Linked DNA regions of Notamacropus eugenii. The protein of the gene in region 2 binds, or shares a complex with, the protein of the main gene of each other region. Links are inferred from orthologs where the notes say so. Each region holds a gene or a part of one and is shown on either strand. Other genes may lie near its edges.

The links. The genes of interacting proteins can lie anywhere in the genome.
Region 1: the proteins of WDR20 (region 2) and USP12 are in contact, whole or in part, in a crystal structure (PDB 5K1C), measured with the Homo sapiens proteins. The link is inferred for Notamacropus eugenii from reciprocal best matches to the Homo sapiens genes WDR20 and USP12. Residues at the interface, in NP_653175.2 of Homo sapiens: Asn41, Ser42, Gly44, Ser45, Arg151, Ser170, Lys259, Ser260, Tyr261, Phe262, Gly263, Glu282, Asp283, Asp284, Leu285, His301, Lys304, Ser305, Trp306, Gln374, Asp375, Thr376, Arg516, Met517, His533, Glu534, Arg535; in NP_872294.2 of Homo sapiens: Glu207, Asn209, Thr210, Ser211, Thr213, His214, Arg217, Arg277, Val279, Phe280, Pro281, Leu282, Glu283, Leu284, Arg285, Phe287, Asp297, Met299, Gln342, Glu345, Tyr348, Thr351, Ser352.

The regions. Positions count from the first base shown.
Region 1 is NC_092876.1:195,092,250-195,099,893, forward strand, and holds the start of USP12 (ubiquitin carboxyl-terminal hydrolase 12), read right to left. Parts: upstream 3,063-7,644; 5' UTR 2,677-3,062; coding exon 2,629-2,676; intron 1-2,628. UniProt on the Homo sapiens protein: Deubiquitinating enzyme that plays various roles in the regulation of the immune response and inflammation.
Region 2 is NC_092872.1:351,726,128-351,733,093, forward strand, and holds the start of WDR20 (WD repeat-containing protein 20), read right to left. Parts: upstream 3,061-6,966; 5' UTR 2,984-3,060; coding exon 2,735-2,983; intron 1-2,734. UniProt on the Homo sapiens protein: Regulator of deubiquitinating complexes. Activates deubiquitinating activity of complexes containing USP12. Anchors at the base of the ubiquitin-contacting loop of USP12 and remotely modulates the catalytic center of the enzyme.

The DNA of each region.
Region 1 (7,644 bases), on a different chromosome or scaffold from region 2:
ATTTATGTCAGCTACTATATATTTCCATTGATATCACAAAATCAATATATCCAAAATAGAACTCATCTTTCCCTAAAACCCACTCCTTTTTCCAATTTCCAAATTCTGTTGAACAGACTACAATTCTTCTAGTCACTCAGGCTTGTTATCTCTATCACATTCAACAATTCTTCAGTACCACTCATGTCCAATTGGTTGAAAAATCTTTCTACCTCCACAAGATATTGTGGAACAATTTCCTTCTCTCTACTCACACAACTACCACAAGGCTCAGGCTTTTATGACCTTTCCCCAGGACTAACAACCATCTTAATTAGTTTCCCTGCATCTATTCCCTACCCTCTTCTCTCCATCCTCCAAACAACTACCAAACTCACGTTCCTTAAGCAATGGTCTGACCATCATTCCCCAGCCTAAGAAGCTGTGGAGGCATTTAGGAACAAACAGGAATTTCTCAGGTTTTTGAAGTTCTTCACAACCTAATTCCAACCTACCTCTCCAGACTAACTATACATTCCTTTCCTTTAGGTACTCACCAAAATGGTTTACTTTTATTTCTCCATAAAAAGCATAACATCTCCAGTCTCCATGCCCTTTTACATATGCTTAAAATTCCTAGTGTTCTTCGAAGCACAGCTTAAGTGCTTCCTTTATATGTAAGGCCTTTCATGATCTCCCCCAGCCCCAAAAACCAACCACCTCCAAATTATTCTATAAATATGCTATATTTGCTCATACATGTAGATGTTAATTCCCCATAGAAAGTAAGCTCCCTGAGGACATAGGTTGTTTTGTTTGTTTTTGTCTTTGTATCCCTATGGCCTATCCTAGTCCTGGCACACAGGAGGCACTTAATAAATGTTGACTCAAAAGTAAAATGTTTAAATCAAGGTTTTGAACAGACACTGGCACATTTCTGTTGTGAAGAATGAAGTTTTTTTTTTTAAGGTTATCACACAAATATCACGTCCCCCTCAGTCTGACAAAGATACTTTAAACTAAATAAATACAGATGGATTTGGTATATTCCAGTTAATAAGTTAAAAGATTACTGGTGGAGTTTTTAAAAGTAACAACATTCTGAGAGACCAAGCTACCACCTAAACACAGTCGTTGTCTCCTTTTGTTTGGAAAAGGGGAAAGACAGTTCATCGCAAGAATTCTTCAGCAAATTAAAAATAGAAAAGAAGGAAAAAATGTTCAGCAACATATTTAAACAAACCAGCACATCTTTTCAACCCACAACAGTGACAGGTTGGAGGGTCCTTCAAGAGGCATGAAGCAAAAAAAAAAAAAAATCTACCCAATCCTATACATCTTCTCCACAGAGAGCAACAGATTTCCTATCAACATATTTAGTGGACCCTTCTACAGTGACAAAATCTACCTACGTAGACTGTCTTCACAATAGGCAAAATTTCTCTATCAACCTCAGAATCCAAGAAGAACTTCTTAATTCCATCCCTCGCATTGAGAGACTTGTAGTATCTACACACATACATACACGCGCACACACACACGGAAGGGGAAACTTGCAGGCATGCCTTACATTACAGAGGGAAGACCCTCCAGTAACTCACACAAGCTAAGGGGGAAGCCTCCACGGTCTCAATCCTCACACGCACAAGCCTTAAAAATAACACACACTGAGAGGGGAGCCTCCAGTCTCATGCACACACAGGAAAAGGAGAAAGGCTCCAATACCTTGAGCGCCCGCACAAACACACAAACACACACACACACACACACACACACTCTCTCTCTCTCACTCATGCGCGTACACACTGATGAGGGATCTCCTCAATTGCTCTCACGCACGCCGAGGGGAAAGCCTCCAATCGCCGCCGAACTCTCACACACGCACGCAGAACAGACCTCCGATAACGCACTCACGCCCCTCCAAACTCTCACACTCGCACGAAGACTTCCAATTAACTCACACACACACACACGCACGCAAGCACACGCATTAGAGTGGAACCTCCTCAATCGCTCATTCCCACCAGCGGAGGGAATAAAAGTGCACTCGCCCCCCCCCCCCACACACACACACGCATGCACGCCGGAGGTAAAACCTCTAACAGCTTACAAACACACACGTCTCCAAACTCACACACTCGCTAAGGGGGAAGGCCTCCGATTTAACTCAGACACATAAACATACACACATACACACCCGAGGGGGGGAGTAGGTGTTCGGGAGAACCTCTAATTCTTCTCACACTCACATGGTAAAGGGAGAGCCTCCGATACCGCACACACACGCACGCACGCACGCACTCACTCGCGGAGAAGGGCTACTCCACTACCTTATACACTCCCGGGCGCACACGCACACACGCACACACCGGCCGGTCCAGCGAGGCCTCTAATGGCTCCCGCCGCCCCAGTGTCCAAGCCCTCCCCGCCCGCCGGTGCCTCCCCTAACGGCAGCCTGGGCTCCGAGGAGCCCGTAACCCGCCCTCACCCTCCTCCTCCTCCTCCTCCTCCTCTCGCAGCCCGGCCCCAGCCGCCCGTCTCATTCCGGCCCGGGGCCGCCCTAGGCCCCGCCGTGTCCGGGGCGGCCGCGGGCGGGGGAAGGTCAGGGGCTCCCCCGGGACACCCGCTCCCGACGCAGCTCCCACCTACCATGGTACAGATGGAAGCAAATTTGGAGACTGTCATTAGGATTTCCATCCGCCCAGCGCCATCTTCCACCCAATCACAGCGGCGGCGGCGCCGGGCTCCGAGCACCGGGCGCGGGGGAGGAGGAGCAGGGCAGCGGGGCCGCCGCCCTCAGTACCGGCGGCCCGACAGCCCCAGCCCGGCTGGCCGACCAAAGGACCGGCCGAGCGACCCACAGACCGACCCCAACAACCGTCTGAGCCCGGCGCTCCGGCACCCTGGCCAAGGCCCCCGCCCCCGGCTCCGGCTGCGGCTCCTCCCCGGCTCAGGGCGCAGCCGCTGCCTCCGGAGGCCGCTCCAGCCCGCCTAGCACCCCGCCCAGCGCGGCCTGGGGAGCAAGCTCCGCCGGGGCCCTAATGCCCGGCCTGTCCGGGCAACTCCGGCACCACCCACTCGCCGCACCCCGGGGACCGACAACCTGAGCGGCCAGCACCCCCTCTGCCTCCGCCTCCGCCCCGCTGCTAGAGGCCAGCAAGCTCCGCCCCCAGCCGCCAGCCCGCCGAGCCCGAGCGGCCGCACGCGCACGAGGCGCCGCCCTCTCCTCCTCCTTCTCCTTCCCCAGCCATGAGAACCCCGCCCCCAACGTGTAGCGGGGTAGGGCCTGAGGGGGCGGGGAGGCGCCGCCGGCACTTCCCTCCGGGTCCTAGTGCTCTTCCACCATTCTTCCGCCCTCCTTTCCCTTCGGGAATGGATGATCTGAGCCAGGAAGCCAGAGCAGCCGAGCTGGCCCGGACAGCGCGGAAGAGGGGGCTCGGAAGTTGGGTCTTTACCTGATTTATTCGGGCAGTTCAGACCTCTAGGTGGAATGATGCGTCTCCGCTCCCAACACATCCGTGCCCAAGGCTTCGGTTCTTGGGCAGGGAATGGGAAAAGCCCGCCTCCGCAGCTGTGACCCGGTGAGACCCACTCATTTGCAAAGTCTAATCTTTCTCTGAAAACGGCGCACTTGTGTCAAACGCGTCATGGGAACACAGTATTAAAGTTAGATGGCATCTTCCAACATCTCAAAGCCCAATCCCCACATTTTACAGGTGGGGAAACTGAGGCCCAGAAAGGGCAAATGATTTCCCCAAAGTACCCTACCAAAGAAAGACAGAAAAGTAAAGATTCGACATATACATGTTATATTTAGCTCGGTGATGTAAGAGGAAGGGTAAGGAATCTGCAAAAGACAGCCTGCCTGTTGAGTATGAATTTTGATGATGCTTATAAATATACTCTCTAAATATATTTTTCCAGACAACAAGAACTGCAAAGGGAAGAATAGGAAGAGACCCAACAAGGATAATATTACCCAGAGAGACAAAAGGAAGTTGATAAGACTGGCAAGTGGGAGAAAAAAATAGACAAGTTCTGTGAGAAGTACATCAAAGTGTAAACTAGTGGAACTGTTTCCTTCTTTCTATTTTTAAAGTGCATCATTTGAAAATCTGTCATTCATTTCAGGCAGTTCATCATTAATTCTTCTTGTTCCAGGAAATTAAGTTTAATTTCTTAAAATTATCCAGCAAATTCCTGTTTCTTTAAAAAAAAAAAAAAAAAAGTCTTTTATTTTTAAATACTTGCTTACAGAAGTTATTGAGGGTGGGAGGCAAGGCAAGATTCTGCCTGGTTCTCAGTGCCTGAGATTACATTCAACTGAACAATTATCCCTAAAATAACGGGCTGAAGATATTTAAAGTTTGCTAAGAAATCAATTTCCGTATTGACTTCCATTATAACATAGTAGATGAATTCCATTAGAAAAAAAATTGTCCATAGTGTGAATTGTAAATAGTAGGAAATCCATAAATAGTTATTGATTTGATTTATAACCTAACCTGGCTTCCTTTCTCTAGTGTCTTCCCTTAAACCATCTATACACTATTACCAGGTTAGTCTTTCTAATATACAGCCTGGATCACATTATCCTCCTATTCAGTGATTCCTTCAATGCCTATTGAATAAAATAAAAGTTCTTTGGCCTTAACCTTCAAAACCTTCTACTATCTAGCTCCATCCTCCTTTTCCAACCTTAACTCATATTTCATATTCTCTACTCTCAACACACATTTACAAGAACATTTGAGGAAGGAGAAATCAGCGACAATCAAGACAGGAGAGGCTTTCTGTAGTGGCTCATGAGTTGAGTCTGGAGAGAACCCAGGAAATCTAAGAGACAGAAGTGAGGAAATACATCACATAGCTGCAGGGCAGAAGATGCAATGCAAGTGCACTGAATGTCAGGTACTGATAGAACATAGAGTGAATGAAAGGGAATGAAGAAATAAGCCTAGATCTCCTTTCGTTCATTGCAAAAGTGGAATATTATGGGTGAAACGCTGAATATGGTATCAGACTTGATTAATATACTGATTTGTTTTACTGAACTGTTTTTCTCTTTTTTATTCTTTGTTATAATGGATAATTTTCTTGGAAGGAGAGATAGAAGTATATATTGGAAAATGCAGATGATATAAAATCAAAAGATTTTAATAACATTTTAATGGGGAAAAGACATGGAAAAGTAGCTATAAAATTAAAAAGATTTTCACAAACAAAATGAATGCAATTAAAATTAGAAGGTAAACAGTTAGCCACAAAAAAATCCTTGAAGCTAATTTCTCTGCTAAAGGTCTGATACCAAAATATGCAGGAAATTGATACAAACATACAGGAACAAGAACCATTTCCCAGTAGGCAAATGATCAAAGGCTATGCATAGACAGTTTTCAAAAGAAGAAATACACATTAAAGCAACTCTAAGATTCTACCATCAGATTAGCAAAGATGACAAAAAAAAATAGAAAAATGACCATTTTTGGAGGAGATGTGGGAAGATAAGCAGACTAATGCACTGTTGGTAGAGCTCTGAAATGATCCAACTATTCACAAGCAATTTGGAACTGTACCCAAAATGTCACCAACAGAAAGAATGTAGCTAGAGAAGAATGCCCAGGAAAGAATCTTGTAAATGAACCACAGTTAGGTTACAGGACATAAATGATGATCCAGGAGGAGAGACTGAGAAAGAGCAGTAAGGTAGGTAGAAGACAATCAGGATAGAGGTCTCACAAAATCAGTCAAGGAAAAGACATTTATTAGGTTTTGATTACTATGTGCCAGGTTGTGTGCTAAGCGCTGGGAACACAAGTGTAATGGAGGTTTGGCACATGCCCAGACCAATGAAAATTGTGTCACGTATGTGGGAAATTCTTGGGACTTGCTTCTGAGAGACAGAACTAGTGTGTGCCTAAACATTCTGAATTGGCCTACCGTGTAGTTGGGAGTAGCCTTTTTTATTAGCTATATAGTCAGAATTATCCGTGTCACTAAGGACAGTTGTCCTTTTCTAGCATTTGCATCTATGGGTGTATTCATTCATTCGCAGCACATGACACTACGAAGTGAGGAAGCGGGAGGGGGAGAGATGGGAGGCACGCCTGAGGTATGCCTCCCTCTCCTCCATTGGCCATAAAGCCCCAAGAAATGGGCTTGGAGTTTTGGTCTGTTTCATTTGTCCCTTTCACTGCTGAGTGCAGGAAGTGGAGTTCCAGACTCAGAAAATTGAGCTACAGGGATTTTGGAGCCCAGCACACCTGGCCAGATGTTGCAGCCAGTGCACCAATGGTTCAGGACAGACTTGAATTTGGTGGGATTAATGTTAGGTAAGGACTGAGACTTCCTAGAGACTGAGATGGTGTAAGAGGGATTAGGCTCTCAGGTGCTAGGGAAAATGTACTTATGTTTTCTCATACCTTTGAAGTAAATTTTCCTTTGTAAAAGCTAAACTAAGTGGCTCAATGGAACTGGGTACAAGTCATTTGCCCCTAAAATTGGGAAACACAATCGATGGAAGCCCTAGCCAATGCCGAGATGAGTCTAATCTCACCCCTTCAGAGAACCTTGGGTTATGGAGATGGGGCAAGGTAACAGACCTGCCCTTAAAACAGTAGAAGCCAGAGATACATTGTTACAAACCAAAAAACTAAAAACAGTCCCTGCCAGGTAGAAGTTTGAAGGGGGAAGCGGGAGGGATTGCTCCTGTTGCCCAAAAGAGGAATGTAGTGATACATAATAGTTGGAATATTACCAGATGTCAACAAAAATCTCTGCTTGCTTTTCATTGAAAATCAATCACAGGCAAATTTCTGGAGAACAGAAGGGAAAAGGATGAAGGGCCCAAGTTGAGGGGTCAGACTGAGCTAAGAGTAGAATGACCTTTTCCTCTGAGACTAGAACAAAAGAGGATAGAATGAGGAAAGATGGGGAAAAGTTCTGAAGCATATCATCTGTTTTTTCAATAGAGAAGTAGGAGAGTTAGAAGTAGGAGGGACACAGCTACTTATTTAGGTCTGGGACACTTCCGGTTGGGGTTATATTCCACAAACCTGGTGTATCTGTGGTTCTGACCCACAGTTGACCTAACTTCTGGCATTCAGCTTTAAAAAAAAAAAAAGCAATAACCTAAGGGTGGGACTTTAGACCTTCCTTATGTACATTATAGGTCCTACTTCCTTATGGGTCCTGTCTTCTTACCTTGTTTCCAGAATCTATATCATATGAGCATATAAGGTACAAACTAAAAATGTAACTTTATAGCAGTCCTGGAGCCTGGTTCCATGAAGAAATATTCTTATGTTCCTCTCGACCCAGATCAGGATTGGAAATTTTCTCAGAAGTGTGCTTTATCTGTGAGCTCTTAATTTTTGCCAAAAATGAGAGCAAGTGAAGAATAAATGATCTGTATTAATTTAAGATCAATGATGAACAATAATCCCTGAGGTTTTTTTTTAACAAAACCAGAGTAGAAAGAAATATATGCATAAAAATGTACATGTGTGTTCTCCTATTCTAGTACAAATGTTTTTTTCTAAACAAAATCATACAAATAACAAAGTATATATGTATATAAGGGGCATATAAGAAATTAATTGATATAATACTTAACAGAGAATCTTTACCTACTTTTAGTGAGTGCTAGTTAATTACATCTATAAG
Region 2 (6,966 bases):
CTCAGATCTTCCTGACTCTATTTACTGTGCCACCACCTGTTTCTGTTTTCTGTAAATGCAACTCCTATTTTTTTCATTATAATTTATTTATTTTTAGTTTTCAACATTCATTTCCACAAGATTTTGAGTTCCAAACTTTCTCCCCATCTCTCCCCTCCCCCACCCACCATGCATTCTGATTACCCCTTCCTCCAATCTGCCCTCCCTTTTATCACACCCCTCCTTTCCCTTTTCCCCATCTTCTCTCTTTTCTTATAGGGCAAGATAGATATCTATACCCCATTACCTGTATTTCTTATTTCTCAGTTGCTGCAAAAACAATTCTCAACATTCATTCTTAAAACTTTCAGTTCCAACTTCCCTCCCTTCCTCCCTCCCCACCTATCCCCACTGAAAAGGCAAGCAATTCAATATGTTATACATGTGCAGTTATGCAAAAGACTTCCATAAAAGTTATGTTAGGCAAAACTAATTATATTTCCCTCCAACCTCTCCTGCCCCCCATTTATTCTATTCTCCTCTTCTGACCCTATCCCTCCTCAAAAGTATTTACTTCTAATTCCTCTCTCCTCCCATTTACCCTCCCTTCTACCCTACTTTCCTGTAGTGTAAGATAGTTTCATAGCAAATTGAGTATGTGTGTTATTCTCTCCTTAAGCCAAATGTGATGGGAATAAGGTTCACTTTTTCCCTCTCACCTCCCCTCTTTCCTTCCACTGATAAAGCTCTACATGTATATAATCCCTCCAACTACCCTACGCAACTCCTATTTTTTAAAGTCATTTAGAAGAACTTTTCAGAGCAGTTTTGCAAATCTCTCTTTACTTTAGTATTACCATTTTGTAAGAAAGGTTATTATCTACCTTAATAAAAACTTCCTTTGCAAAGATAATTCTTGAGCATGGGCTCTGTTTTATGATGTAAACCAAGACTGCCCAGATCAAGTTTCCTATGAGAAAGCTTCAACAAGAAAACTTGCAGAGTAAAAAAGGTAACAGAGTAACAAGATGGTTCAACTGGTTATCAGTTTAGGTGAAAGTTAAGGTTGGTTTGGAGGTTGTTTTTTTGGTGTTCGGTGTCTAAAAAATACATTTTAGCAATGAAAACTTTGAAACTAACTGCACCAGAAAACTGACCCTTAAAGTTCTAGGATCAAAATCAAGATGGCAGTTTCCTGTTTGACCATTATTCTTTATATTTGTAACTGTTTTCCATTTATTGTCTCTGAAGACTTCACAATAGTGTACACTTATTAATTCATTATTTACAACATATTCACAGCAATCAATCTTTTTTTAAAGTAGAGGAGTTCTAGGTGAACCAACTTGGCAAAGGTCACCCAACAAGTCAGTGACAAAGCTAGGAACGGGACCAAGGTTATGTTTTCTTACTTTCCAACTTTAAAAGGAAAAGAAAAATTAAGTGGCTTCTTTTCAATATTTTCCATCACATTCTGACCATAATCGGAAACACTAGCAAAAACATTTCAGATAACTGCTTTAGAAACACACTCAGCATACCCACCACATGACCCTGCAATACTGAAATGAAAATACTGTACTTGTACATAATGTATTTATTTGCAGAAAGTCTGTATTCTTTCTTATTCATTATGTGCGTATTTTAAGGTACTAATAAAAATTAGCATTTCTGCAAATCATATTTGTCTGTTCATAATCTTGCACAGATTACAGAGTCCATTATTTTCTCTCTGCTAATAGTAAATTCAAAGTTCTATTTCAAAAGCTTAACAAGTATATGATAACACAGATGAAGGCTCTAACAAATTTTTTTTTAAAGGGAGAACATGCTTGAAGACGATTGCACGGTCGAAAGAATTACTGTTGCTTGTCATGAAAAGGAGACCACATGAAGCCGCTTTTTAGACCTTCCTGATTTAGGTGTCTTCTCTGACAAGATTAGTTCGAATGCTCTCATGCTGAACCCATATCACCCGTTAAAATAATGGAAAAGTAAGATGCCTCAGTCCCTCACTTTAAAACTTAGCCTATCCACATACTAGAAACAGACAAGAGACAATCTTTCATGATCTTTCCTAGGAAAAGATTCACTCCCAAGCGTTCTATGGCTGGAGACAGCGACAGCTGCCCTGCCCTGAGCGCTCGGAGACACAAAGTGTGAACAGCCGGGCCACCGACGGACTCCTAGGAAGTGCGGCAGCAGGTGGATCGGCCCCCCGCGATCCCCCACCCGCGCCCAGGCGGCTCCTTTCGGACTACGGGCACAAGCCTGCAGCTCCCCAGCGCCGGTCCCACCTCATTACCACCCCTCGTCCCCGTCCTCTCACGGGGGAGCCCCCCAGCTCGCAGTCGGGCTGGGGCAGTCGCCACCCCCGCCCCCTCGCCCCTCAGGCCCGGCTCCATGCTTGTCACCCAACCTGACAGACTCAAGGCGGAGGAGGGTGGGGTGACGAGAGGCAGACACCTGGGGTGGGGGGTGGGGGGGTGGCCTCCCTGGACTGGTCCCCGAGTCAGCCCCCCAGACCCTCCCCCCACGCTACACGCCCCCCTCTATCTCCTCCCTCCCCCCAGTGCAAGCGCTGAGGTGAGAACTCTCAAGTGGAGTTACCGGCCCACTCTGAAGTGAAGCGGCCGCCGCCTCCTCCCCGGGTCGGGTCACGTCACCGGGTCCCGTCCCCTTCCCTGCCGCCCGTGCCGATGTCGCTGCCCCTTTCCCCACCCCCGGTGGGCCCTGGCGCCGCCCGGGTCGGTACCTTGCGGACCCCCTTGTAGATATAGAAGTAGAGCTCCCGGCCCACATTGAAGCAGAGGCGGTCGCCGTTGCCAGACTGGTCGTTAAGGTTGACGAAGGAGACGCGCACGGGGTTGGACCCCTGCGAGTTGAAGGGCACCCGGTTGGGCCGACTGTATTCCGAATGCGGTAGCAGCTTGTAAAGACCTTCTCGGGTGGTGAACTGGGTCTTAATCTCGTTCATCTCCTTCCCTCCTCCCTCCGTCGCCATCTTGGAAAGCAGCGTTCATCCTGCCCCAAGTGCCCGGATCACACCCACTGCGCAGGCGCCGTCCCTAGCTTTCCCAGAGGCCACCCCCCCCTTCTTCCCCCTCCTCTTTCACCCCGCCTTCCTTCTCACCCTTCCACTCCGGTCTCTCCCAACCGAGTGCGGCGGCGACGGGAAGGAGGGAGGGCTTGTTTATAGCGTGTTTGCGCAGGCGCGACCACCTCCCGGGCCCAGCTAGATATCCACTTGCAGTCCGAGGCTCATTCGCGGACTCCGGTCCCCGCGTCTGGGTCCCCGAGAGCCGTTGCGACCGCCGCCGGCTTAGGTGAGGGGCCCAGGGGGGCCGAGTCCTCGGTCGTAGGCCGTCCCAGGGTGTGGGAACCGCCGCTGTCGCCCCAGCGCGAGCCAGGCCGGTGGGGGGTGGGGGAGAAGGGAGGCGGGGTCCCGTGCCGGCGAGGACGGAAGCCGTGAGGGGCCAGGAGAGAGGAAGGCCGCCGGAGCCCTCGGCTGTCCAGGAGGGGAGCGGGAGCCCTTGTGGGCTCCTTGGCGGCCCCCGTCTGGAGAGGCCAGCGCCCTGGATTTGGAGTCGAGAGCCCCGGGATGCAGCTCCCGGACTAGGTAGCACCTGGGTGACCTTGACGACCCGGTCCTGGTCAGTCTGGGTCAGGTGAGACGCTCTCTACGGGGAGACACCTCAGAGACGTCTTGGGCCAAGCCCTTAAAACCCTTCCCCCCTTTGGACCGGCATTGCTCTGATTTTATGGCTGTAAAGAATTCCTGGTGAGGACACTCCCTTACCTGTGTGCGTGTCTGCACCGGTTCTGTCACGTACTAAATAGTCACCTGTGGGTGGCACTGTCAGTGTACAGGGCCTGGCCAGGCTCACACCATGGTAGGGGTCAGAGAGGGACGGAAGCCCAGATCTTGTTTACCTTCTTTATTTCTTGCTTTTCTGTACGCTTGGCATACAGAAGGCGCCTAATAAATGCTTGTTGCTTGCTGATTGCCATTGAACCTCTAAATGTCATTAGCAGAAGTGTTTGATCATTACAGCTGGCATTTATGGCGATCTTTAAGGTTTGCCAAGTGATTTACATATACTACCTCACTGTGTCCTCACAACCCTGGGAGGTGGATGCCATCCTTATCCCGGTTTTACAGATGGGGAAACTGAAACAGACAGAGACTGTGACCTGCTTAAGGTCACACAGCTTTCAAGTGTTTGCACTGAGGTTTTCCTGACTCCAGATCCAGGGCTCTAACCATAGCACCATCTACTTTTCTCAAGCCTTCCTCTAGAACAGGGGGTTTTTGTGGGAAGTCCCCTTGGGCAGCCTGATGACACCCATGGACCCCTCAGAATTTTTTTTAGTACATATAATAAAATACATAAGATAATAAAGGAAATCAGTTGTATTGAAATATACTTATCAAAACAATTTTTTTAAAGAAAAAATGGGTTTGGGTTCCACGGTAAGAATCTCTGGAAAAGAGGAAAATGACTGTCTTGTCATCTCTTGGTCAAATACTTGGAATATGGTGTTTGTGAACCATCATAAGTGTTTGGAAACTATATTTGAGGAAAAGACATTGAAAAGGTGACTCTTATCTTGAAATGGCCAAGTAAAATGGGAAGGGAACCACAAAAATTGTGTCAAGAATTGTGTGGACCAATTAAGAATGTGTAGACTGGAGGCAATTTATTGGCCGTGATAGGTGTCTGTCTTCAGTTACTTAAAGGGAACGAGCTGGCATTTGGAAAATTACTCAGTGCTTTCTTTAAATCACCCCAAACTACTCTCCAAAACAAAAGCCAGTCTTTTTAACATAAATATTATTTTGGCTGTGAGGCATGAAATATCATTCTGAAAAATTAAAGTTGAAGGTCACCTAAAGGTTGACACTCTTGGTAGTCCTAAGTAGGGTAACATATTACTACTGAGAACTGGCATAAATTTTATCAGAGAAATGTATAGCCGTAAAAGGATGCGGATAGGTCACCTAGCAAGAGCAAAGAATCTAAGGGGAAACATACTCAGCTTGCCTCCCAATTTCATTGGTTGAACTGCCTTTGAAGGATTTGGTTGAGAATCATTCAGTTGACAGTTTTGCCTTCTACCTGAAAATTGATTTAACTTATTAACACATTAGAGTAAGATAAAAAAAAAATTAACTGGATGCTCAATTCCTGAAGGCTTTATTTTTATCCTGGGTTAATAAGTATTCATTTGCATTAAATAAACCTCTAAATAAACCTTTGGGTTGTCTAATAGTTCTTCAGCATTAGTAAGGAGAGATACTTTTATTTGTAGAGGAATGTATGTAACTATAACCACTAATGTCAATAAAATGTAAAAAGTGATTTCTATTATAGAGACACCAAAGGGTGAATAGAAAGCAGGCCTTGGAGTCCTAAAGATCTGGGTTCAGCTTTGATATAGGTTGACTTTGTGACCCTAGACAAGTTACTACATGTTTCCATGATATCTCCCCCATTGGATTGTGAGCTCCTTAAGAGCAGGGACTGTCTTTTGCCTTTATTCAAATTTCTAGCACTTCCCACAGTACTTGGCATGTAGTAGGTTTTAAATAAATGCTTGGTAACTTAGACTCAACTTTTCAGTACCCCAGGTAACTAAGCCTATAAGCTGCCAAGCATCTCTAATCAATCAGTAAGCATTTATTAAATGCCTACTCTGCCGGGACTGAGGTAGATACTGGGGATACAAAGACATAAAACAGTCCTTATTCTTTAGGAGCTTACATTCTCAAAAGGGAGATGAGGTATACATATAACACGTAGAAAATAAATACCAGGCAATTGTGAAGAAAAACCACCAGTGACCATGGGAACTAGGAAAGGCCTCTTATGGTGGTATTTGAGCTGATCTATTCGAAGAGGAAGAGGTAAACAGGGAGTGCATTTCAGGAATGCAAGTGTGGAACAGCCTATGCAAAAGTACAGTCAGAAGATGGAATGCTATATTTGGGCAAAAGAGCTCAAAGCAAAGCCAATTTGGCTGGATTATAGAGCATACAGAGCTCCCCTTCATATACATATTAATGTATAATAAGGCTGGAAAGGTAGATTGGAGGCAGGTCGTGAAGTGTTTTAAACACCAGACAGAGCAATTTATTTTTTATCCTAGGGACAGTAGGAAGCCACTGGAGTTTATCAAGCAAGAAAGTACCATAGTCATGCTTTACTTCAGTAATGTCACATTAGTACTTGTGTGAAGGAGCAAGGGGACCAATTTAAAATGGAGTAGTCTTAAGTGAGAGGTGATGAGGCTCTGAACTAGGCTGGTTGAAGAGTGGAAAGATGGAGATGAATGGAAGATGTAGAGATAGGGTTGACAAGACTTGGCCACTCATTGGATATGTGGGGCAAGGAAAAGTGAGGAGGGAGAGATGACTCAGAGGTTGCAAATACTTGTGACTGAAAGTATGGTGGTACATTCAGCAGAAATAGAGAAGTCTGAAAGAGTGGGTTTGGTGCAGGGAGGAGATAATGACATCTATTTTGAATATATTGAATTTGAGAAGCCATTTGAAAAAATATGCAAAAAACCTATTGATGGTGCAAGTCTGTATCTAGAAATCATCTGTGTGCCATAACAGTTGAACCAATGGGAGATGATAAGTTCTCGGAGATTATACATTGAGAAATGAACTAGTCTTGGAATATATCCAGAGTTAAGGGCAGAGGGAATGATGATCCAGCAAAGAATGAAAAGTAATAGTCAGATAAGAGGAAAACCAAGAGAGTAGTGTCACAAAAAAAGAAAAAGTATGTATGAGTAGGAAATACTCAGCATTGTCACTTGTAACAGACAGATCCAGAAGGGTGACAGTTAAGAAAAGGCCATCTGATTTGTCAATTAAGAAACCACTGGTAACTTTAGATGGAGCAGTTTCAGTTGAATAGGTTTTTTTTCCCCAAGAGAGAATGCTATGTACTTATTTTATTTATAAGTAAGATTGAT